3 linked regions of the Lonchura striata genome follow. The protein of the gene in region 1 binds, or shares a complex with, the protein of each later gene. Links are inferred from orthologs where the notes say so. Each region holds a gene or a part of one and is shown in the gene's direction. Other genes may lie near its edges.

The links.
Region 2: the proteins of AP3D1 (region 1) and AP3M1 are in contact, whole or in part, in a cryo-EM structure (PDB 9C5C), measured with the Homo sapiens proteins. The link is inferred for Lonchura striata from reciprocal best matches to the Homo sapiens genes AP3D1 and AP3M1. Residues at the interface, in NP_003929.4 of Homo sapiens: Lys29, Glu388, Gly389, Thr390, Thr391, Arg393, Glu429, Arg432; in NP_001307192.1 of Homo sapiens: Ser25, Ser27, Asp30, Tyr31, Glu34, Pro52, Asp104.
Region 3: the proteins of AP3D1 (region 1) and ARF1 are in contact, whole or in part, in a cryo-EM structure (PDB 9C5B), measured with the Homo sapiens proteins. The link is inferred for Lonchura striata from reciprocal best matches to the Homo sapiens genes AP3D1 and ARF1. Residues at the interface, in NP_003929.4 of Homo sapiens: Lys48, Asp50, Phe77, Ile80, Glu81, Ser84, Asp107, Met110, Leu111, Thr112, Thr113, Asn114, Gln115, Arg117, Lys118; in NP_001019397.1 of Homo sapiens: Tyr35, Ile46, Pro47, Thr48, Ile49, Gly50, Phe51, Asn52, Val53, Glu54, Trp66, Lys73, Ile74, Leu77, His80, Tyr81, Gln83, Asn84.

Annotation. Positions count from the first base shown.
Region 1 is NC_134630.1:2,845,424-2,852,798, reverse strand, and holds the start of AP3D1 (AP-3 complex subunit delta-1), read left to right. Parts: upstream 1-4,361; 5' UTR 4,362-4,572; coding exon 4,573-4,668; intron 4,669-7,375. UniProt on the Homo sapiens protein: Part of the AP-3 complex, an adaptor-related complex which is not clathrin-associated. The complex is associated with the Golgi region as well as more peripheral structures.
Region 2 is NC_134609.1:11,960,481-11,967,574, forward strand, and holds the start of AP3M1 (AP-3 complex subunit mu-1), read left to right. Parts: upstream 1-4,075; 5' UTR 4,076-4,100; intron 4,101-4,265; exon of another isoform or gene 4,266-4,358; intron 4,359-7,094. UniProt on the Homo sapiens protein: Part of the AP-3 complex, an adaptor-related complex which is not clathrin-associated. The complex is associated with the Golgi region as well as more peripheral structures.
Region 3 is NC_134603.1:154,872,843-154,880,521, reverse strand, and holds the start of ARF1 (ADP-ribosylation factor 1), read left to right. Parts: upstream 1-4,660; 5' UTR 4,661-4,793; intron 4,794-7,679. UniProt on the Homo sapiens protein: Small GTPase involved in protein trafficking between different compartments. Modulates vesicle budding and uncoating within the Golgi complex. In its GTP-bound form, triggers the recruitment of coatomer proteins to the Golgi membrane.

The DNA of each region.
Region 1 (7,375 bases):
CCATCCCAGTAAAGACACTCCAGCACAGGTACCCCAATATGGGCACCTGGGCATGGGGCACCCCAAAATGGGCATCTCAAAATGGGCATCCCGTCACACACCTCAGCATGGGGACTGCAACATGAGGTGCTTCAATATGGGCACCCCAAAACGGGTACCCCAGTATTGTCACCTGGAGACAGGGCACCCTGGCTCAGTCACGCCACCCTGAGTGTCCTGTAAAGGACACTCCAAAAAGGGCATCATGGTGTGGGATTCCTGGCAAGGACACTCCAACACAGGCACCCCAATATGGGTACCCAGGTATGGGACATCCCAAAACGAGCACCCCAAAATTGACATCCTGTCATGGGAACCCTGGCTGGACCCTTGGAGGCTGAACAGCCCCAATTTCGTTTCTTCCCTTCAATTACACGTGTCTTTCCTTGTGATTTACATAAAAATCACAATTAACATAACCAAGCACAACCTCTTTAAACATCATTGGGATGTGAAACCCACAGAGTGCTTTGAGTGCCAGCAATACGGAGAAACCTCTTGGAAGCACTGCCACAGGGGAGAACCAAAAAGCAGCCCAGACCCAGCTCCATCGGGGATGTGATGGCTGGGATTGTGCTTTGTGGGACTCAGCAGAGCTCTCCCAAGGCACAGCATTCCTTAGGGATACTCTCTGTCAGTGGCTGGAGAGGGAAGATTCCTTCCCTGGGAATGCTGTCTATGTATGTGCAACAGGGAAAACAGGAGGTGGCGTAATTTATTAAAAAAAACCTAAAAAATATCTGACCTGCAAAAGCCAAGAAAGACAAAAGCTGGGAATTTTAAGATTTAGGTATCACTGGTGGCAGCAATTAGGTTTAAAGCAATGCTCTTAACTAAAGGTGATCATAAGAGGATCCCAAACCCGTCAGCAATCACAGGAAGAAGAGTGAAAAAGTCAGTTGTGTCCCAAATACAATTTTTATGGCTGAACTATGTCAGGCTATCTCAGGAAGAGAAATCCTTGGAAATTCAGTCGGGAGGGATCAAGTCTCGAGTCCAAATCCATCTGTAGGAGATGCTCCCCATCCCTCGGGGTGCTGCATCTCCCAGCCTGGGCTTCCCTGCCTGGTGGTGTGAGGGTGTGACAGAGTGACAGTGAGACAAAGTGACAGTGTGACAGCGTGATAGTGTGACAAAGTGACAGTGTGACAGTGGCTGAGCTCCACTGCAAAGGGCTGGGTCAAAACAAGGGATTTTCACAAGGTTTTTGGGGATCCCCTCACAGAGCAGCCCAGTCAGAGGCAGGGGGGCAGTAGAGGGGACAGTGACAGCACAGGTGGGCACAGCCAGCCCTTCCCAACCACGGGCTCATCCTGGTAGCTGGATGTTCTCCAGACCATGAGGACTCCAGCAAACAGAACTCTTCCCTTTGACTTTTTCCCTTAAAAAGGGAAACCTCCTTTTTCCTTTAAAAAGGGAAAACCCCTCCTGCATAGGGGCTGATGTGTGCAGCTATTTCTGAATAAAATCAACACAACCCCTGAGCTGAGCTCTTCTCTCTGCCCCGGGACCAACACAAACAGGCTGCAAAACCCAGGCTGAAGGCAGAGAACAAAAGGAAAAACACGGGGAGCAAGAGAAATCCTTTTCCTTCTCCTGTTGTGCAGCAGCTCAGAATCCCAGGTGAATCTTGGCAAGGTCGTGTCTCCTTTTTGTTTGCAAGCTCCTTTCTCTTTAGTTCCCTCCTTTCCCCGATGCTGGAATCCTGCTCTGAAGATGAAGATGGGGTGGGAATGCAGCCCCTGTGCATTTTGTTTTCCCTCTCCCGTTCCCTGTCCCACCCACCTGCAGTGGGGACATGGCACCCACAGGTGGGGGCTTGTTCAGGGGTGTTGGGCACGTGGGTAGAGGACAAGCTGTGGTCACAGGGACACCAAACCACTGCCCACTCTGTGCCCACACGTGTGGGGACACTCACAAAGCTCCATGTCTGCCTGGCCATCACCCATCGTGTCACCTGTCACAGCTTTCCCACACCGACACTGGTCACCTGGGGCAGTGGGTGACGGTGTTTAGTGGGTGCTCAGGTGTGGCAGCCCGTGGAGCTGCATTCCCAATAAAGACATGAAATAGATCCCAAAATTTGGCTCTATCAGCTGTGCAGCCACTGCTGACACCCACGGGCAGAGGGGAGAGGTGCAGCTCTGCCAGCCCCACTCTGCGGGACCCCCACCCCATGGAAGGAGCTGCAGCCCCATGCTGGGATCCCATCCCTGTGAAGGTACCCCTGATCCCATGTGGGGACTCTCAGCCCCAGAAAGGACCTGCAGACCCATGGAGGCGTCTCCATCCTTATGGAGAGTTCTCCAGCCCCATGCAGTGACCCCCGACCCTGTGCAGGAACTCTGAGCCTCAGAAAGGACCTGCAGGCCCACAAAGGGACCCCCATCCCCACAGAGGGACCTCCATCCCCATAGAGGGACCCCGTTCCCACGGGAGGACCTTCATCCCCACAAAGGGACCCCATTCCCACGGGAGGACCCCCATCCCCTGGAAGGACCCCCATCCACATGGAGGGAGCCCCATCCCCATGGAGGGACCCTGTTCCCACGAAAGGACCCCCGGTCCCCATGGAAGGACCCCCATCCCCAGGGAAGGATCCCCAGCCTCACGGAAGGACCCTCATCCCCACGGAAGGACCCCCATTCCCACGGAAGGACAAGGACCCCCATCCCCACGGAAGGACCCCTGTCCCCACGGAGGGACCCCGTCCCCATGGAGGGATCTCATTCCCACGGAAGGACCCCTGTCCCCATGGAGGGACCCCGTCCCCATGGAGGGACCCCGTCCCCACGGAGGGACCTCATCCCCACGGAGGGACTCAATCCCCATGGAGGGACCCCATTCCCACGGAAGGAGCCCCATCCACATGGAAGGAGCCCCGTCCTCATGGAGAGACCCCCCATTCCCACGGAACGACCCCCGTCCCCATGGAGGGACCTCATTCCCACGGAAGGACCCCTGTCCCCACGGAGGGACCCCATTCCCACGGAGGGACCCCATTCCCACGGAGAGACCCCCGTCCCCACGCGCGTCCCCGCCGCGCGCGCCCGCGCTGCCACGTGGGACCCGCGGGAGCGCGCGGCGGGGGCGTGGCCCGTGACGGGGCGTGGCCAGCGCTGGGACAGTGACACCAGTGGCAGCAGTGACGCGGCTGTCACGGGGCGGGGAGGGGATGAACCCCAGAATAATTCAAGTGTAAGCGACAACACTGCGCCATCAGCTCCCACCTTCCTGCTCCGGCAGGGCCATCCCAGAGCACACAGGGCGCAGGATTGTGTCCAGATGGTTCTGGGATGTCCCCAGTGAGGCAGACCCCACGCTTTCCCTGGGCAGTGTGTTCAGTGCTTGATCACCTGCACAGCAAAGTTCTGCCTCACGTCCAGGTGGAAGTTCCTGGGCATCAGTTCCTGCCCGTTCCTCTGGTGTCACTGCTGTGCCCCACGGGGCAGAGGCTGGGCCCTGCTCTGAGTCCTCCCTGCAGACACACAGGGCTCAGGGCTGCTACTCTGGAGGCTGAACAGCCCCAGGCCCCAGCCGTTCCTCGAATGAGAGATGCTCCAGTTCCTTCATCATGTCCAAAGCCCCTATTCCAGCAGCTCCACATCTCACTGATCCCGAGAAACCCAGAGCTGGACACAGCACTCCAGCTGCGCCCCAGCAGGGCTGAGGAAGGGGCAGGACCAGCTGCCATGTCCTACCACCGATGCTCTTCCTAACACAGCCTGGGACCCCACCGGCCTCTTCGCCCCGAGTTCAGGTCCAGCAGCTCATTAAATACTCAGTTTGCTCCAAGCTCTTCCAGGGTTGCGGTTTTCTCTCGTGCGTTTGCAGCTGTTTGCTGTTTCCATCCCATGGGATAAGAGGGGCTGGATGCCCCCGGCCCTGCGTCCTCCTGAGGGGCAGAGTGGGCGGAGCATACACAAGTTAGTGGGCGTGGCTTTGCTGAAGGGGCGGGGCGGGCTCGGGGCGTGACCGAACACGTCGTGAGGGGCGTGGCCTGAGCGCGGTGGGCGGGGCTGGAGAGCGGCAGCGAGGCGGACGGTGAGTGGCCAGAGAGGGAGGGGGCGTGTCCGGAGAGCCGGGCGGCGGGGCAGCGCCGCGGTGCGGAGGCGTGTCCAGACACTTGGAGGCGTGTCCTAGGCGCTGGGGGCGTGGCTGGAGAGCGGCGAGGCGGCAGGGGCGTGGCCAGACGGAGTGGGCGGGGCTGGAGAGCGGCGCAGCGGACGGTGCTGGCCCGGGGGCGTGGCCGCCGGTCGGGCGTGGCCATGTCGGGGGCGTGGCCGAGCCCTCAGCTGACCGGCCGCCATTTTGTCGGTGCCGGATCCCCAGCGCCGCCTGGAGCTGCGCCCGCGGCCGGGGTCGCCCGCGCCCGCCCGTCCGCCAGGGCAGCTCCGCCCGTGCCCTGCCGCTCCCCTCGGCATGTGAGCGCCCCGGCACCGCTGCTCTCACCCGGCTCGAGCGGCAGCAGCACCGCGGCGGCCCCCCCGCCCGGGCCCGGCCCCTCAGCCCGGCGCAGGCCCCGCCGCCGCCATGGCGCTGAAGATGGTGAAGGGCAGCATCGACCGTATGTTTGACAAGAACCTGCAGGACCTGGTGCGCGGCATCCGCAACCACAAGGAGGATGAGGTGAGGGGACCCTTCCCTGTGCTCCGGCCCGGCGATGTCGCTGCTGGCCGCTGGGGCTGTGTCTGCGAGGGAATGTTGGTTTGGGAAGGGGGAAGCGGGAGTCAGAACGAGGAAGGTGACGCTGGGGTGTGGGGCAGGAGGGACAGGCTGGGGGACAGCAGGAGAGTTAGTAAGGGAGGGCCATGCTTGGTGCTCACCTTTCCATTCACTGTGTTGTGGTGTTGAGATCCGTGATATACATACGGAGATATATATATGTGTAGACATATGCACACATATATACACGCAAATGTATGCATGATTATTATAGAGGAATAATGGAGAGGGATTCCTTCCTCACCAGCCCTACAGTCACGTGCTGTAGTCAGCTATGTATTCTTCACCCTGAAGCTGTTATACAGGAGGATGAAGCTCCTAATTCAGCTTTCAGACCATTCATGTTTAGTACCTCCTGACTAAAATGTCCTTCTCTCAGAGCTGTTCTAGGCAGCAATCATTTCTCCGTGTCGGCCTGTTATCCACTCTTGTGTGAGAAGCACGTGATCAGGAAATTAGTATAGGTGAAGTAATTAGTCATCAAGAACGTGTTATGTGAGACTCCACAGTAAAGTGTCACATGGTAATTGAGAAGTAACGGGCCCCAATGTCACTTGTGTTCATCTTCAAGTAACTCATGAAGCTTGAGGAGCTTTCTTAATATTGGTCTAACAGCTGGGCTTTGCTAGTGTGTTGGGGGATGGCTCTAGAGTCAATATCAGCTATCAAAAGCATCTGGAAAAGTTGTAAACTTTTAACTGAATGAAGAACTTTACTAGGAAAACTGATCTTCTTGCTGGTGCTATTGAGCTGAAACACAAAATACAACTTCCAAAATCTGTGTAAGCCCCTTGTGCACAGGACAAGGGGTTGTTTGGTAGTGAGCATACCTGGGAAATTTCTGTTTTTCACAGAGTGACAGAATATGCTGTGTTGGAAGGGACCCACCAGGATCATTGAATCCAATTTATTTTGGTATATGTTAAATTTATGGTATTGGTTTGATGGCAGAGGAAGGCAGGGCTGCTGTGCAGTGCCCTGAAAAATGTGTGAAACACCACAAAGCAGCAACAGCTTATTTGTATGGAATTTATGAGCCTAGTGTGTTGTGCTAGAGCAGGACCTGGTGAGCAGTATTCTTATGGAGCCCCTCCAATGTGTTGTGCTGCTTTTAGTAAATCTGCTTTATTCCTTTGTGCATAGGACAAAAAGTGTTTCATCAGCTGTCAAACCCCTGAGGATCCTTCTGGTGAAGGTCCAGGCCTTTGTGGCACTGGTTCTTTGAGAAGTATTGAATGCTTTTTCTAAAATAATTTTGTGACAAACAGCTTCGTAAAGAGAGTTCAGAAGCACACCGAGCTTGTTCTCAGTCTGTGATAAGAAATGGTTAAAATGAATTGGCCTTTGTGCCCTTTGGCGTTAGGAAAAAAACACTCCTTGGACAATTTTGTAGGGCTGTGTGGGAAGCTGTTACTGGGGTATGTGCACACTCTGGGATTCAGTGAGGTCGGAGCAATACCTTGTGTCAGAACAGCTGGGCTGCAGCATGATGGGATTTTAAACTCTTCAGTTTGGAGTACTAAAGGTGAGATTTTGAAACAGGTAACTGTAGGGATGATTCCTTTTCATATCCTCACGAGCACAGCAAAAATTAAACCCAAACTAGAATGTGTTCAGCTGATTAAGACATTGCACTGGTAAAACCTGTGTGTTTGAGAATCCTTCAAATCATTTCTCTTAGTTCCAGAGAGTGGCTGCAAGTCCAGGAAAGGACTGTGCCTTTTCCTGGCTCAGCTGGAGAGAGCTGTAAATCTGCTGTTGAGCTTTTGGGTGTGGATTCAGTGCTTCCCAGGCAGTGGCCAGGGACATTGGCTAATTTTCAGGTGATGTTACAAAATCTGAATGCTGTTTTAGAGGAACTAGCTGCAGAAATTCTTCCTCTTTTCCCTACAGTGTTTCCATTGTCATTGTATCTGTTTAATGTTGCTCCAGTGCTGTAGTTCAACCAACATTTGTGTGTCTCAAGGTAAGTGTCTATGCCTAAGACAGAAACACTATCCTGTTCAGAACAGCAAATTTGTTTAAAACAAACAGTGTGATTTAGTGGGGAGGATATTGACTATTGGTCTTGGCTCAACAGGAGTTTCTCCAGGAAGAGTTCCAGTCTCTGGAAAAGAGCTACTGTGGTTGTTAAATATCAGTGATAGGAAGAGAAATGAAGGCAAGATTGTTGTTTTGACTTCTGATTTACTTGTGCTTTTTGCAGGAGGTTAGTTTATTTACATGTCTTGGGTTTTGTGTTTTGGAATTTAATCACATGGAAAAATCTGCCATCACTTATTCCCTCATCTCTCTGGACAGTCTGTCCTGGTAGATCTGAGACGGAAAGTTTTATTCCTTTCCACTTCTTACGCAGATACCACATGAGCATATCTGGTATTTCACAGCCCATCGAGGCTGTACCAGTGCCTGGTACCCCAGTTCACAGTGGGGCTTTTCAGTGCAGTTCTTTGACAGCCCCATTGTCTTCTTGCTTGGTGGGTTTGTGTTCTTCCTATGTTGCTGTGACCCTAAATCTCACATGCCAAGGTGTGTCCTGAAGTCAGAGCAGGCCACATCTCTTCACTGATAAGTTTTGGGTGCTCCTCAGCTCCTTAGAGGAGGTGAGAGT
Region 2 (7,094 bases), on another chromosome or scaffold:
GAACAATGGAAACCAGTGCCTGCACTGTAACAGCACAGGAGTTTCCATGCTGCAAGTCATTCCGGTTTTGGATGTATTTCTGTCAACACAGCTTGGAAGGGAAGGTAACTGCTGTTGCATCCTAAATAAAACAAAATTAGCAACGTCTGTGGCTAGTGTCCTCAAGAGTATTTGTCTGATTTCTAAAGAAGACTAAATATTCATCTGAAGAAAAAGTCTATTGCTCTAATTCTGGGAACAAACACAGAAAAGTGCTTGAGTTTCAGCTCCTTCTTTGACCTGAGGACATTATGTGTACCAACACGGAAAACACTACCTGTGTTTGCAGATATAAGAAATAGAAAAGTAAGAAAACTATAAGCCATGAAGACAAAAACTGAAATGAATACAAATGGGGAGTAAGGTGAAATTAAAAAACAAAAAGAAACGCCCCCCCCCCAAAAAAAATACAAACCCAAACCAAGAGATAAAAGAGAGAAAAACGTTATTTACTAAATTCTAACTGAAAGCTTAGCCACAGCTAACTTAAAATATTCAAAATCTTCTTTCATTTATAAAGAGCTGATGAAAGAATAAGCTAAATTAAAAGCCAGCTTATTAAGGAAATTTAAAATGTGTGAAATTAGCAATATTTTTTACAGCCACTAGTACCAAGCTTTCTAAAATCTAGTGGAACAGTAATGACAAAAGACTGCTTTTGATAACAATTATGCACAGAGTATTTGATAATTTATTCTTAAAATGAAGAGATCTCTAATAGTAGCAGAAGAGGAGGAATACTGTACTTTTTACTTTTAGCATGAACTATTTGCCAAACTCAGTGCTTACATTGCCTACTAGATAAACTGATTTGTTCAAACAACTAGCCACGTCATGACTATTCAATCAATACAGCAGCTGCAGAACAGCCAGAAGGTCATAATGCAGCACAGGGGACTTGACAAGTTTGTGTGCAGAAGGAAAAGATGAACATGCATATTTCTATACAGACACATACATTTAAGCTCAAACATTTCTACAGAAAACGTCCAAATTCTTTCATATCTGTACCAGACTGTTAAGAGAATCTGCCTGTGGTTTTCACAGACTTCCCTAACAAAACCACATATAAAAGAACACAAATCCTTAGTAATTTTCCTCTAAAGTAACACCTCATGATGTTTCTAGTAAGTTGGTGCTACCACTCCATGACAAGCCATTTGCAGTTTTGCAAGCCCATTTTCTGTTCAAACAGTGCAGTTCACAGAGCACAGATGCAGTCAGAAGCCCAAAACAAGGCAGCACACATTAATGGCCTTGCCTAAAGCCCATTGGTTTGTAGTGGGGATTTGCAGGAGTCAATAAAGACAATGCAAAACCTGCCGCCCAGCAGATGAATGTCAGCACAACACATTGTTGAGCTGGGAATGCCAGTTTGGGTCTCGGGCTTTGTATGCTGCTCACTGGGTGGCAAAAGCCAGCCATCCTATACTGCTTTCAAACAAGTGTAGCTTCCTGAACCCAGTCAGCTTTGCCTACCTCATGAGGGAGCGATATTTGCTTTCCTTTGCCTGAAAAGATCAAAGGGGTCTAAAAATGTAACCATGAAACCTCTATGAAGCCACTTTGAGAGAAAAAATTATGAAAAAAAAAAAGAGAAAAAACAGGGAAAGGAAACCTTTGCTATTGTTGATGAGGTATGGCTTGTATTGCATTGCAGAATTAATTTTTTTATACTAAAATAGTTTTCATGGTAGTCATGGGAAAGGTTGAGGTTGATATCATATGGGAGGATAAATACGGTACAACCAGCCTTGTTGAATCCATTAGACATGGTTTTCTGAAGAGACTGGAGAGCCCCAGATCTACATATTGAGAACAAGCAATCATTCTCTATAATCCCCTCAAATTCTTGGTATAACAAGTACGATGCTATTGACCTCCGAAATTATTAAGTGATTTTTCACTTCTTTTCTAATCTATAGAGGAACCGTTTCCAAACATATCTAGCAGTGCTTTGCATTACAACTGAATCTCGTTACAAATACAGCCAAGTCATGGAACCTCGACCAGTCTGGTACCTTCTCTAGTTGCTTTTACGTCCCACAACAGCACTCAGCCAAACATGTTCTTGCCACTACATTCATATGAGTGCTGAAGTCTGCTAAATCTAGTCCAACCACCAACTGCTTCATGAGTTCAACCTGTGGCAAACAGCACACATTAGCTTTATTTGATCACCAGTTAATTATGGCATTTCTCCTCTTATGAAACAGAACTGGAGCCTATTTATACTTTGGCTTGAAATAACTTGCAACAGAATTAACATATGCAAGTTCTAACAACATTCTTCCTGTTTTATCTATCATACCTTACAGAAGTAGTATTTGCAGTTTAGTCAGTCATTACCAGACATGGTATGTCACCATTGCCTTTCATTCCACTGCAAACAACCTTTAAATTTTTAACTCGGTACACCAATAATATTCTCAGATTTGAAATTTTTCTCATATTTCATCTTAAAATGCTTTTTCCTCTAATAAACTTTATAAACAAACATTGCAGCTTCCAGTTTCTTCCCTCATCTTGCTTTAAGGAGACATGGAGATAACTGTTGCTTTTTTACTATAACCTTACCTTGCTGCATGCCATTTATTTGCTTTCAGAGCTCAGTTACATCTTTCCTCTTCTATTATCTGCAACTGAGCTTGTCAACCATTACTAAACTTGAAAAGTCACTTAGCTGCCAAAGAAGCAAGTACCCTGACTTTGACAAATTTAATAGGATTAGCTCTTTTAATAAGGACATCAGTACCAAAAAAATTGTTCTCATCTCAGGACTAAAGTACATCCCCTTTATGCTATATTTGAGTGAGTTATTGGTTATCAGTTATCGCCAAGATAATTTTGGACCTTTCAAGGCTTATGTCATTAATTCTCTTCACACACTGAACACTTGGAAGGAAGTCAGCTATCTTCCAATTATATTAATATCTGAATAATCCTGAGAAAACAAACTTGAAACTGTACCAAAAAAAAAAAAAAAAACCACCAAAACTGCTCTACAGCTCTCAGTACTCAAAGTTCTCATTTTGACTGTGCATCCTCCATTGAGAAACCTTACATTTTTCTGCTATGACATTTAAAAATAAATTACTTATGTCTGTGCAGGCCATCATTCAAATGGGATTCAGCCAGTGCTATTGTACTGTGATCACAGAAATGAGGAAGTATAGCAAATCGCACAGATTATTTCAATATGAAGATATTTTAAATTATACGGTATGTCTTGAAGAAAATGTAACTGTTAACTCGGATTTTCAGTTTCCTATCTAACAGGGACAGAGACACCCTCGCGAGAGTATTAATCGGGGTATTTTATATTCAAAGGGGAGGCAGACGCAGTGACAATCCCAGCTGTGCTCTAGTACGGGGCCATCGTTGCGAGCAGCGTTCCGTTTTACCGCAACCCATCCAGACTCTCAGCAGCCCATTCGCACCGACCGACCCGACCCCAGGGCACAGCGCGACCCCCGCGCCGCCCACCCGCCCCTGCCTCGGCTGCGGGGAGCCCAGTGCGGCGGCGCCCCCGGGCACCCGCCGGGCCCGGGCAGCGGCACCGCAGCCGCCGGGGCAGCGCGGCGGGACGGCCCCGCCGCCGCCTGCACGTGCGCCCGGTGCCGCGGAGGGGCCGCCCGCGCCCCCGCGCGCAGCCCGGCGCGGCGGGACCCTGCCGCGGAGTGCGACCGCTCCGCGGAGGCGGCACGTGTCTCGCCCTCCGCCGGGAGTAGCACCAGCGACCTCCGGCACCCGCAGGGATTGCTGGCGAAGCAGAGCCCGTCCCGGCGCCCGTTACCTCAGCTGCTTCTGCTCCAGCTTCAGCTTCTTGGCTTGCGGCTCCCCCGCTGCCATCTTCGCGCTGGGCGGCGTGCGGCGCGCTCCGCTCCCCTCGGCCCGCCCGCCGGCCCCGGCCCGCCCCGCCGACCGCGCCGGCACCGCCACCGGGGGGCGGGGGCGCCGGGACGAACGTACGGCCGCGCCGGGCGCCTGACGGGGCGGGGAGCGGAGCCGGACCGCCCGCCGTCCCTGCCCAGCCGCGCGCTGCCGCGGCGCCGGCCCGGGTGGGTTTAGCGCCCGGGGGCCGCTCCCGTCTCCTGCCGGCCGAAGGGGCCGAGCGGTGCTGACCGGCGGCGAGGGGCGGCCGTGGCAGCGGGGCCGGCGGGCCCGGGGAGCGAGGGGGCCGTGCTCGGGCGCTCGGCGCAGGCAGCGCCCCGGCCGGCCGCGCCTCCGCCGGGGGGCGGCCCCGCGCCGCCGCCGGGCCTCGCCGCCATCTTGGCCGCTGTCCCGGGAGCGGGACGGGCCGTGCCGGGCCGGGGGAGGTACGTGGGGCGCGGGGGGCCCGGGCCGTGAGGGAGTGGGGCGGTTCTGTCCGTGCCCGGGGGGACGGGATCCCTGCCGGGCGGGAGCCGCCCGTGCCCGATCCCGGTCGCGCTGGTCGGCCGACGCCGGGCAGGGGCGACATCCCCGCCAGCGGCGGTACCGGGAGGCTGCCCTGCAAATCCGAGACTTCCCGTTTTGTTCGGTGCCCATTTAAATACAAAATCGTCGCCGTGTTCGAGTACCATCCCCCACGCCGTTGTTCTGGGCTGCGGCGGAGGTGCGGAACCGCCCGGCGGAGCGTGCAGAGGCGGTAGCGGCGGGGTGCAGCGCTCACGCTCCGCCGTGAGGCGCAGGGCCGTGAGGGGGACCGGGCAGCGCGGGGCCTGCAGCGGGGCGGTGCGGCAGCCGCAGCCACGCCGGGCCGGGAGGGGCAGGGCGGGCCGGGGAGCGGCGCCGGCTCACCTGGGTCGATCTTCAGCAGCCCTGCTGCAGCCGTGGTGTTTCTACTCCAGCTGTAACCGCTTAATTAGCGAGGGGCCCTGTGAGTGCGGATCTGCCTAATATGCGCTGGGAATAAACGCGTTATCATCCATCACTATGCGCTGCACATCGCTCCCGCCCTGTTCAGTACCCAGCGGCAACTGAGTAGAGGTTGTCGGTTCTTTTCTTTTGTTTCAGTTCAAATCTGCTGTGAATTAGTAATGCACTTACCGTCTTTTCAGTATGATGGATCGTTCGTACCCATTAAGTGTTAATCAAACTGGAGGAATAGCATCACTATTCAGTGTAGCTCTTCTATAACCAACCAGACAAAAAATCATACTTGAATGATGAAAATTTTTGTTCATAGCAGGCAGACTGCAGTATGGGAGAGGAAAAGGTACTTTACAAGAAAAGCAAAACCAACTTCAGTTACTCATGCATGAGGTAAAATGATGGAAACAATGTTTTACAAAAGAACTGACTGTGACAACCATGAGAATGATTTTGCTGTGGCAGTTCCCGGCGGGTTTGAATCATACATAGCTTCTCATTTATTTATTGAAGAGAAAAAAAAGAGAAGATGAAATATCTGAATGATATTGCTCTGTAAAACATCTGTCATATTGCATGCTAACTCAAAACAAGCAAACTTGGGGTTTTTTTTGGGGGAAAGAGGACAAATAGATTCCTTGCTGCCTGTATGCACATATCTGAAAATTCCTTGCAAATGGCAAATCAAACTTGATGAATAGCCTATGCCCTCTCATGTTTGATTTTGCTGGTTTTATTCAGAAATTAAATTTTCTGTTGTGCAAGATCAGCTAAATCCCAATTATTCTCTCATATAAAGATCTCCTTACATGAGGAATCTTTAATAAAAACCTTGTCATGAGGATTCAGAAAAGAGAAATTGAAGTCCTGGAGGTAGAGAAGTCTGAACAGTAGGAGATGAGTGGTGACTGTATTTTATGGCTGTAATAATGGCAATAAATTAAACAAATTATTTTTTTTAAGTGTTAAGTTCCTTCCTTTTATATCCATTTATTTTATCTCCAACTTACAGCTTCACATATAACTTCAAAAAATTAATACAACGAAGATAAGTTGAATCTTTTTTATGCTTATTTAACATAATGTATGAAAGGCAGCCTTTTAACAGGAACTTCTTAGAGTATTCATGAGATTCATTCATACAAGATAAAATAATTAGGGGGGCTGCTTTGCTCTGTCCTCTTGGAGGAGAAGGAAGTGTTTATGTGCCTTCTTTCTGCCTTGTGTTTGGACTGGCTGGGGCAGAGTGCACACACATTGGGAAGGGCTGTCATGCACAGCAGAGTTCCAGTGATGCTTGCTGGCTCTGATGGAGTGTTCCAGTAGTGCATGGCTCTCTGGCACTGTGCTTGTCCTTTCTGGAACCTTGAGTGCCTCTTGAAAGAGAGCCTGTGAAACACAGTAGTATAAAGCTAGGAGCACTGTTGTTCTGGCCTGTCAGACTTACTGGAGGAGTGAACTGGGTGAGCATGGTGGAAAACATCTTCACAAAGAGTTGCTGAGTTGGGGCTTTGATATCCTATGACTGAATCCTTCTGCCTTGTCCATTCAGAGTTCTTAATGGTTTGGCTGGAATATGAGCCTAATTATATTCCCGAAAATATTATGGACAGTAAATATGTGACATGAGACTCACTTTATCTCTGTCCATTTGGCCCTATCTGTCTATTCTACTGCTTTCAGAGAGTGAATTTCTTAAATCGTCCGTTAGTAGTCCTAAACCTACTGATTCAGATCTAAGTAGTGTTCAAAATGTTCCATTTCCATGTAAAAATGTAGTTTTAGCAAGGAATTTGTAATTGTTTTGGTGTGGGTTTTTTTTCTAAGAAACTCTAGCTTTTCCAGCAAAGCTTTCTATTCTTACAGGTCCCAAAGGGAACTGCAGCTATTCAGGATCTAATATTGTTCGATTATTCAGAATCTAATATTGTTCTGTTGATAAGAGATGGAACTCTCTTGCCAGCAGTTAGAAGATTTATACTGGAACTAAATTGAACAGAGGTGCCATGCAAGTGTGTTATTGGAAAGCTCATCAGACAGTAGATTAAATGCTGCACAAATTCTCATGCAGGCTGTAATTGCTACTGGTGAAAGCACAGAGGAAACTGCATATTTTGTTATGTCTACCAAACACTGATTTGAGTCAACTTTTGACTATTCTCAAAGGACTACTTCCTTTTAAAAACAATTTCAGAAAGTTA
Region 3 (7,679 bases), on another chromosome or scaffold:
CCAGCAGTCAGCAGTGCTGAGGTTGAACATCTTCACTGCCAGGTTCCCCTGCACGCCACCGAGTCATGACGTGCAGCTGCTTCCAAGAGAAGGAGGGGAAAAAATGAGGCCAAGAGAGGTGAGGCAATTTCCCAACATCCCTGGGAGTCGGTGTTGGGAGCACGGAGCTGATCTGCTCCCTCTGCTCTCCAGCCCTCCGCGCCACAGCCAAGGGGCTCTCAAAGGTGCTCCAGCTGAGTGGATCCTTCTGCCACCTAAATCAGCTCTGAGAGGAGAAACCACAGCAAAATAACAGCTCTGGATCTGAATACTCTTGATTTTTCTGCCTCTCCATGCAGCTGTGTAGAGTTTTTTTGCTTTTCTCCTCTTTCCACCTTCCTTTTCCGTCCAGGATGGTGAAACACGAGCAGCAACATTAGAACTGTCGTCTTTTCAACAGCCCAAGCCCATCTGGAGGTGACCCCAGGACCAGAAATCCCAGGAATCATGGCTATTTTTGGTAGGCAACATAGCAAATTGCTGGAGGGGCGGAGGGTGTTGTAATTTCTCAGCTCCTGTTCGTAATTGCAATTCTCACCTTCAGGTGAGAGACTCAGAGGTGAGAAATCCTCAACCTGACAGCAGCCAGGAGCTCCAGGGCAGCAGAAAACAGAGCGGTGATGGGTCCCAGTGTCCTTCAGCCCCTTCCACTCTTTTGGGGTGGGTGTCCACCCCAAAATTAATTTTCCATCACCACCAGGAGGGATTTAATGGTTGGACATCGCTGCCGCCTGCTCAAGGGTCTCCACCACCTCATTATACCAAATGTTCTCATCAAGAATCTTCTCAATAAAGACAACTTGCCCACACTTGGGAGAAAAGATTATTTTGGGGGGCCCTGAAGCAAGAGCAAACCCAGCCTGTGGTGTTTTTCCCTCGGGGAAGGTGCAGAAGGAAAAGCAGGGCTTGGGAAGCGCTTTGAGACTCCAGGTGATATTTTTATAACCTCAGAAATCGCCTTGCACAAACACCTTTTTTTTTTTTTTTTTTTTTTTTTTTTTTTTTTTTTAATCCAAAAGGGCAGTGAGAACAGGGTGTATTTCAGCTGCAGATTTGTCATCAGAGGCTCCCAGCAGGGAGGAAAAGTCTCCAGCTCCAAAGGGGCCATCCAGGAAAAGCCAGGGAGTTTTCTGGAACCCCGGGAGCACCCAGAAAATGAGCTGAGCTGCCCTGAGAGATCCCTTCCTGTTTTGTCCTTGTCCCACATGAGTTTTTCTTAGGATGGAAGGAAGCAAAGGGGCATTTCTGCTCCCTCAGCTGAAAAAGAAACGGAGGCTTCTTTCTTCTCTCCACGAATGCTGTGAGTCACAGGGCAAAGGGTTCCAGCTGCATCACAGCAATGAATCAGAGGGACGAGACCTCGAGCTCAGCGTCCCCTCAGGTCTCCAGAGGATGAGAATAACGAAATCAGATCTCCCTGGTGATGTGTCATGGGTGATAATAATGAAATAACCTCCTCTGATTCGCCCTGCAGCTGGATTTTCACCCTGGTGGGGTGGTGGGGTTGAGCATCTTCTCCCCTGAGGCAGCTAAAACGAGGAGCTGCTCTGGGTTAAAAATAAAGCCAAAGAAAAAAAAGGAAAAGAAAAGGAGAGGAGGGTTATTTTTAACTCAGAGCAGCCCTGATCTGGTTCACTGCCCGGGCATGGAGACAGAGCTGTGAAACAAGGGCTGCTTGGCTCAGCTGGGGCCAGGAGGGGATTTGGGGATGGGGAGAAATTCAGGTTTTTTCTGCTGAAAAAGCACCTTCCTGTTGTCACAGACACACAGAAACACCCAGCTCAGCTCCTGCCCCAGGGCTCACCCAAAATATCCAGCAAGGACAGAGGCAGATTCTCCCCAGAAGCCTTGAGCAAGTGCAAAGTCTCTTTATTCTCTTTAAATCTCACTTGGTATTTTTGGTTCAACTCAGACTCTTTCAAACCAGGTCCTGGAGGCTGCTGTGTCCCAAACAGGTCACAAAGGCAGGGGACAGGGACATCTGTGATCCCAGTGGGAGCTGTCCATGCCTGGGCAGCAATCTGTCCCCTGGAGCATCCTCCTCTCCCTGAAACCCCCCATGTCAGCCAGCCCAGCTTCCACAGTGCAGGAAAACAGGATTAATTTGAATTTTCAGCGTGTCCTTGCCATCACTTTCTTAGCCCATCAGTGCTGCTGCTGCTGAGTGACCGTCTGGGGAGATTTAATGCAATTTAGGGGCTTTCTTAAGCAAAATAATAATATGAATTTAAACCTGCTCTGCATGGGGGTGGTGCCTCCCTGGAAGAAGCACAGGGATGATCTTCCCTCCTGCCCAGACTCCCTCCTGGCACTTCTCAGCCCTGTTGCTGCCATTTCTTTTGCGTGTGACCCAATTATTTTAGGAAAAGAAGCTTTTGGGCTCACGCCCATCTGCCTGTCTGCCTTCTCTGTGTAATGCTGGGTGATTCCAACAGAGGATGGAGGACTTTGAGGTACTTATCTCCTATGAGCATCGAGGGGAAATCTAGAAATAAGCAGTTTTGGTGGCTTCCTGCTCTGTTTCAAAACTTCTCGTTAACAAAGGAAGTATTTAGTATTTAGCCTGGGACAGCACACGACCTCGATTTATCTCAAAGTTAACCCAAAACAGAAAGGAGATAAGCCTGAATTTTTTTGTGCACAGTTGTTTCTACACCCACCTCTTGAGCTTTGGGACCATGTGCATTATTCTATTTCCACGTGGAGTTAAGATCCTGCTGTGCTGACCTGTTCCCTCTGTGCTGTGTAATAAACGAATTAATACTAGTTTAAATTAGGAAAATTATTTGCTGAGGTAAAAAAAATTTAAAGGAATTTTCCCTCTGTGGGGGAAACTGAGGTACAGAGAAGCTGGAGCTCAGAGAGGATCGTGGGCTGCTTTGGGAATGGGGAATGGTGCAGGAAAAAGGGAATGGTGCAGGGGAAAGGGAATGGTGCAGGGAAAAGGGAATAGTGCAGGGAAAGGGGAAATGGTGCAGGGAAAAGGGAATGGTGAAGGGAAAGGGGAATGATGCAGGGAAAAGGGAATGGTGCAGGGAAGAGGGAATGGTGAAGGGAAAGGGGAATGGTGCAGGGAAAAGGGGGAATGGTGCAGGGAAAAGGGGGAATGGTGCAGGGAAAAGGGAATGGTGCAGGGAAAGGGGGAATGGTGAAGGGAAAGGGGAAATGGTGCAGGGAAAAGGGGAATGGTGCAGGAAAAAGGGAAATGGTACAGGGAAAAGGGAATGGTGCAGGGAAAAGGGAATGATGTAGGGAAAGGGGGAATGGTGTAGGGAAAGGGGGAATGGTGCAAGAAAATGGGAAATGGTACAGGAAAAAGGGAACGGTGCAGAGAAAGGGGGAATGGTACAGGGAAAAGGGAATGGTGCAGGGAAAGGGGGAATAGTGCAGGGAAAGGGGGAATAGTGCAGGGAAAAGGGGTCCAGGAAAGAGGGGGAATGGTGCAGGGAAAAGGGAATGGTGCAGGGAAAAGGGGGAATGGTGCAGGGAAAAAGGCAATGGTGCAGGAAAAAGGGAATGGTGCAGGGAAAGGGGAATGGTGCAGGGAAAAGGGGAATGGTGCAGGGAAAAGGGGAATGGTGCAGGGAAAAGGGAATGGTGCAGGAAAATGGGGAATGGTGCAGGGAAAGGGGGAATGGTGCAGGGAAATGGAAATGATGTAGGGAAAGGGGGAATGGTGCAGGGAAAAGGGGTCCAGGAAAAAGGGGGAATGGTTCAGGGAAAATGGGGAATGGTGCAGGGAAAGGGGGAATGGTGCAGGAAAAAGGAAATGGTGAAGAGAAAGGGGGAATGATTAGAAGTGCAGGGAACAGGTAAGGAATGGTAAAGGGAAGCGGGAACAGAGCAGGGAAAGGGGGAACTATGAAGGGAAGGGGGAACAGTGCAGGGAAGAGGGAAGGAATGGTGTAGAGAAGGTGAAGGAACGCTGCAGGGAAAGGGGAACGGGGAACGGGAAAAGAACCGTGAAGGGAAGCGGGAACGGCGCGGGAGGAGAACGGCGCACGGAAAGGGGAGGGCACAGTGCAGGGAAAGGGGAGCTGAGCGGGAAGGGCAGGCTCGGTCCCCACGAGCCCCGTCCCACCCTGTTATCATCCCGTTATCCCGTCATCCCGTTATCCCATCACCCCGTTACCTCGTTATCCCGTTATCCCATCACCCCGTTATCCCGTTATCCCATCACCCCGTTATCCCATCACCCCGTTATCCCGTTATCCCATCACCCCGTTATCCCGTTATCCCGTTATCCCATCACCCCGTTATCCCATCACCCCGTTATCCCGGTATCCCGTTATCCCATCACCCCGTTATCCCGTTATCCCGTTATCCCATCACCCCGTTATCCCGTTATCCCATCCCATTCCCGGGGGATCCCGGCCCCGCGCTGCGGAGTGGGCGTGGCCAACCCAGGCCCCGCCCCCTCCTGATACCGTCACTCCCACCATGACCACGCCCACTCCCAGGCCACGCCCCCATCCCCACAGAGCCTCGCTCCCGCCGTGGCCACGCCCATTGCGCCTCTACGCCACGCCCCCTCGCGCCGGCCCTGCGGCGCCCCGCCGTGGCCACGCCCCCCCGGCGCAGGCCACGCCCCCCGCTCGCGCCCGGCCTGCCCGTGGCGCCGCGCGCGGGGCGGGCACTGACGTGGCCGCAGCGCGCCGCCATCTTGTGCTCCAGGGCGGATCGCGGCCAGCGGGCTCCGAGCGGGACCCTCCGAGCGCTGCCAGACCCACGGCCCGCGCCTCCCGACCGCGCCGGTGCGTTTGCCGACACCTTCTTCTTCCCTCCTTTCCAGCCTTTTCGTTTCCTTCCCCCCCCCGCCCCCTCTCCGGCTCGCCGCGCCGCGCCCCCGCCCCGCATCCCGCGGCCTTGGCGCTGAGGCAGCGGGGCCGGGCGGTGCTTTCCTGCTCGTTCCTTCCCATTGCTTTTAATTCCTTCTCTCACGCCACCTTATCCCTACTCATTCCTTTTCTCCCACAGACCCAGAGCTCCCCGGGAGCGGCGCTGCTCCACCCGTCCGCCCTTTCCACGTCTTTGTGGGGGGGTCGGGCCTTTGGCTTCCCCGCTCGTGGGTGGGATGGGGAGGGAGAGGCAGGGCTGGCCGAGGGGAATCGCCGCAGCTCGGCAGCAGCTGCACAAGGCCCCGCTCCGCTCCCTCTAGCGATGGCATTAGACGGGATGGGTTTGTCCTCCCTTCCCCAAACTCGCTCATTCCGGCCTCTGCCCCGCCCGCGGACGGCTCCGAGCAAGGAGAGGCATTTCCTCCTCCTCCTCCTCCTCTCCCCCCCAAAACCCTCGTGGGGTGCGGGAATGAGGTTGGGATGGAGCTCGCAGGGCAGAGGTTGTTTCTCCCTAAGCCCTTGGCTGCTGAGTTGGTGTTTTTTCTTGCTGGGCAGAGCTTTATCGTGGAGCAAACAATTCTTTTTTGCCGCCTATCGCCTTGGGTTTGGTGGTGTGGGAGATCAGCTTTCCTTGGCGGAGCAGCTCCCGGTGGGAGGATATTATATTCTGTCTGAAAATACTCCGTGGTGCGAGGCGAACGTGATACTTCGGGGCTGATAAAGCTCGGTGTGATGAAGTGATAGCCCGGCTCTGCCCCAGCACAGCGAGACCGAGACTCTGCCGGGCCATAAAACTGCCCCAAATGTTGTCGTGTTTGACATTGACCTTGTTTGTGGCTTTGCTGCTCTGCTCCTGCCAAAGCAAATTCCACAGGTTGATTAGAGTCGCGACTAGAGGTCTGGTGTTGAAATTGTAGCTTTGTCAATAACTAAAATTCCAAGTATTTATGTAATACTTTGAGCTTTGTCTTGCGAGGCTCGCAGCACCCCTTTGCAGGGTATTCCATTGACCTTATTTTCCAGGCAGAGAAACCGAGGCAAAGTGGATTTTTCCAAGGTCATTCAGCAGTCTTTATTGCTATTTTTGCTGCTGATTTGGAGCGCTTCTAGGGGGGAAAAAAAAGGGAAGTGTGGCTGAAGTGGAGGATTGCTATTTTGCTTTTATTCATGGGGTTTGTAATGGAATTAAATAGGAGCACAGCCTTATGGATAAAGGAGTTCTCCGAAAGGAAAGTTTTTGGGGGTGGTTTGATGCCACTGATTTTTCTCTGCTACAAACATATCCGCAGTGCTGGAGGCCCTGTTGGGCTGCTCTCCCTGTTGGAATAATTGCATTGGGTGAAAGGGTGAGGAAACTCACCTCGATTGAACCTCTGCAGCTCCAACCCCGCAGCTTTGCCAAGTTTGTTGGTGCTTCCTGTGATGGAGCATCAGGAATTGAAATGGCTCAAGCAGAGCCGCCCTCCCCTCAGAACGGCTTTGTGTTTGTCATGTAAATCCTGTTTAAAGTCGAACCCCTCGGTGTAAATGGTCCGAGGAGCTCGGATGGGTCTCTCGGAGCATTTCCTCGGTTGTGAAATAGCTGGAATGTGGAAGGGCCTGGCAGGAGCTGTGCACCGAGTTCCCTGTGAGTGTTAGTCATGCTGACCAAGTGGGGGGAGGACCAGGCGCAGCTTTTCGAGGCAAACCAAGCGTGTGTGGGAGTCGGGGCTGGATTCTGCTCCTGGGAATTCACCAAACTCTGCTGTGCTCCGGCTGCTTCGAGCAGGAACGTTTCTACAGATAATTATCAGCTAAGCAAGCCTTTGGTGACATGAATTGGTGCAAGGAGGAAAAGCTCAAAACCCAGGATTCCAGCTGAAATGGCAGTGGTGATGTTTAAAGAACCACCTTTACACATCCCAGAGGGTTTTATTTCTAAAACAACCTCTTATTTTTAAAGATGGGCTTTCAAGCAAGAATTCTTAGGGATTTCAACAGCCTTCGCAAACATCCAGCTTGCTTTACAGTGGATAAATTTGGTGAATATGAGCTAACTTTATCTGAAAAGGAATAGTTCTGATTCTGTTTTTAGAAATCTCTTGGAAGTTCTGCTCCTGGAATGCTACAGGGCTTGTGTTAGAGCCGACGCTGTCCTCAGCCATTCCCTTTCTTTAGCTGATGAGTAAAGAAGTTCAGAATCAGCTTCCTACTACAGCAGCTGTTTTTTCTGTGTAATTCAGCATTTTTTTCTTTCTGCTTGCGAGTATCCGATTTTATTCCTTATTTTTAACGCATGCAGACGTCGGAGGGGCTGTGGTGGAGCTTCTGCTGATGTTTCAGTTCTGATAAAACCCTCGTGTCTCACACAGCTCTTATTCGCCCACTGCTCCTCTATCTCACAACTCAGGGGTTCTGCCTTGACATTTCCCCTAAACCAAATGCCAGTTTCATTGCTGGATGGTGTTCTCGTGTGAGTTCTTGCCATTTCTACTAGAAGTGTAAATGTTGACTTAGTGCCCAGTTCCCAGGAATGAATAACAGGATATTTGGCTTAAAATTGAAGATTTTGAGCTCAGGAACAATTCAGCCTCAAAAACAAAAAACACCCCAAATGTACACCGCTTATCTGAAGATAAATTCTTTGTAGCCCTCAGTTCTCACACCACTGTACCCAGTGCTGAACTGGTGAGCAGAAAGCCACAGGCCATTCTTGGGGTTCACAACTGCATTATTTGCACCACAATATTTCCTGAGCAGGGAGGGCATGGATGCAGCTCCCTCTGTGCTTTTCACCTGTCAGCCTGTCCTTTTTTCATACCA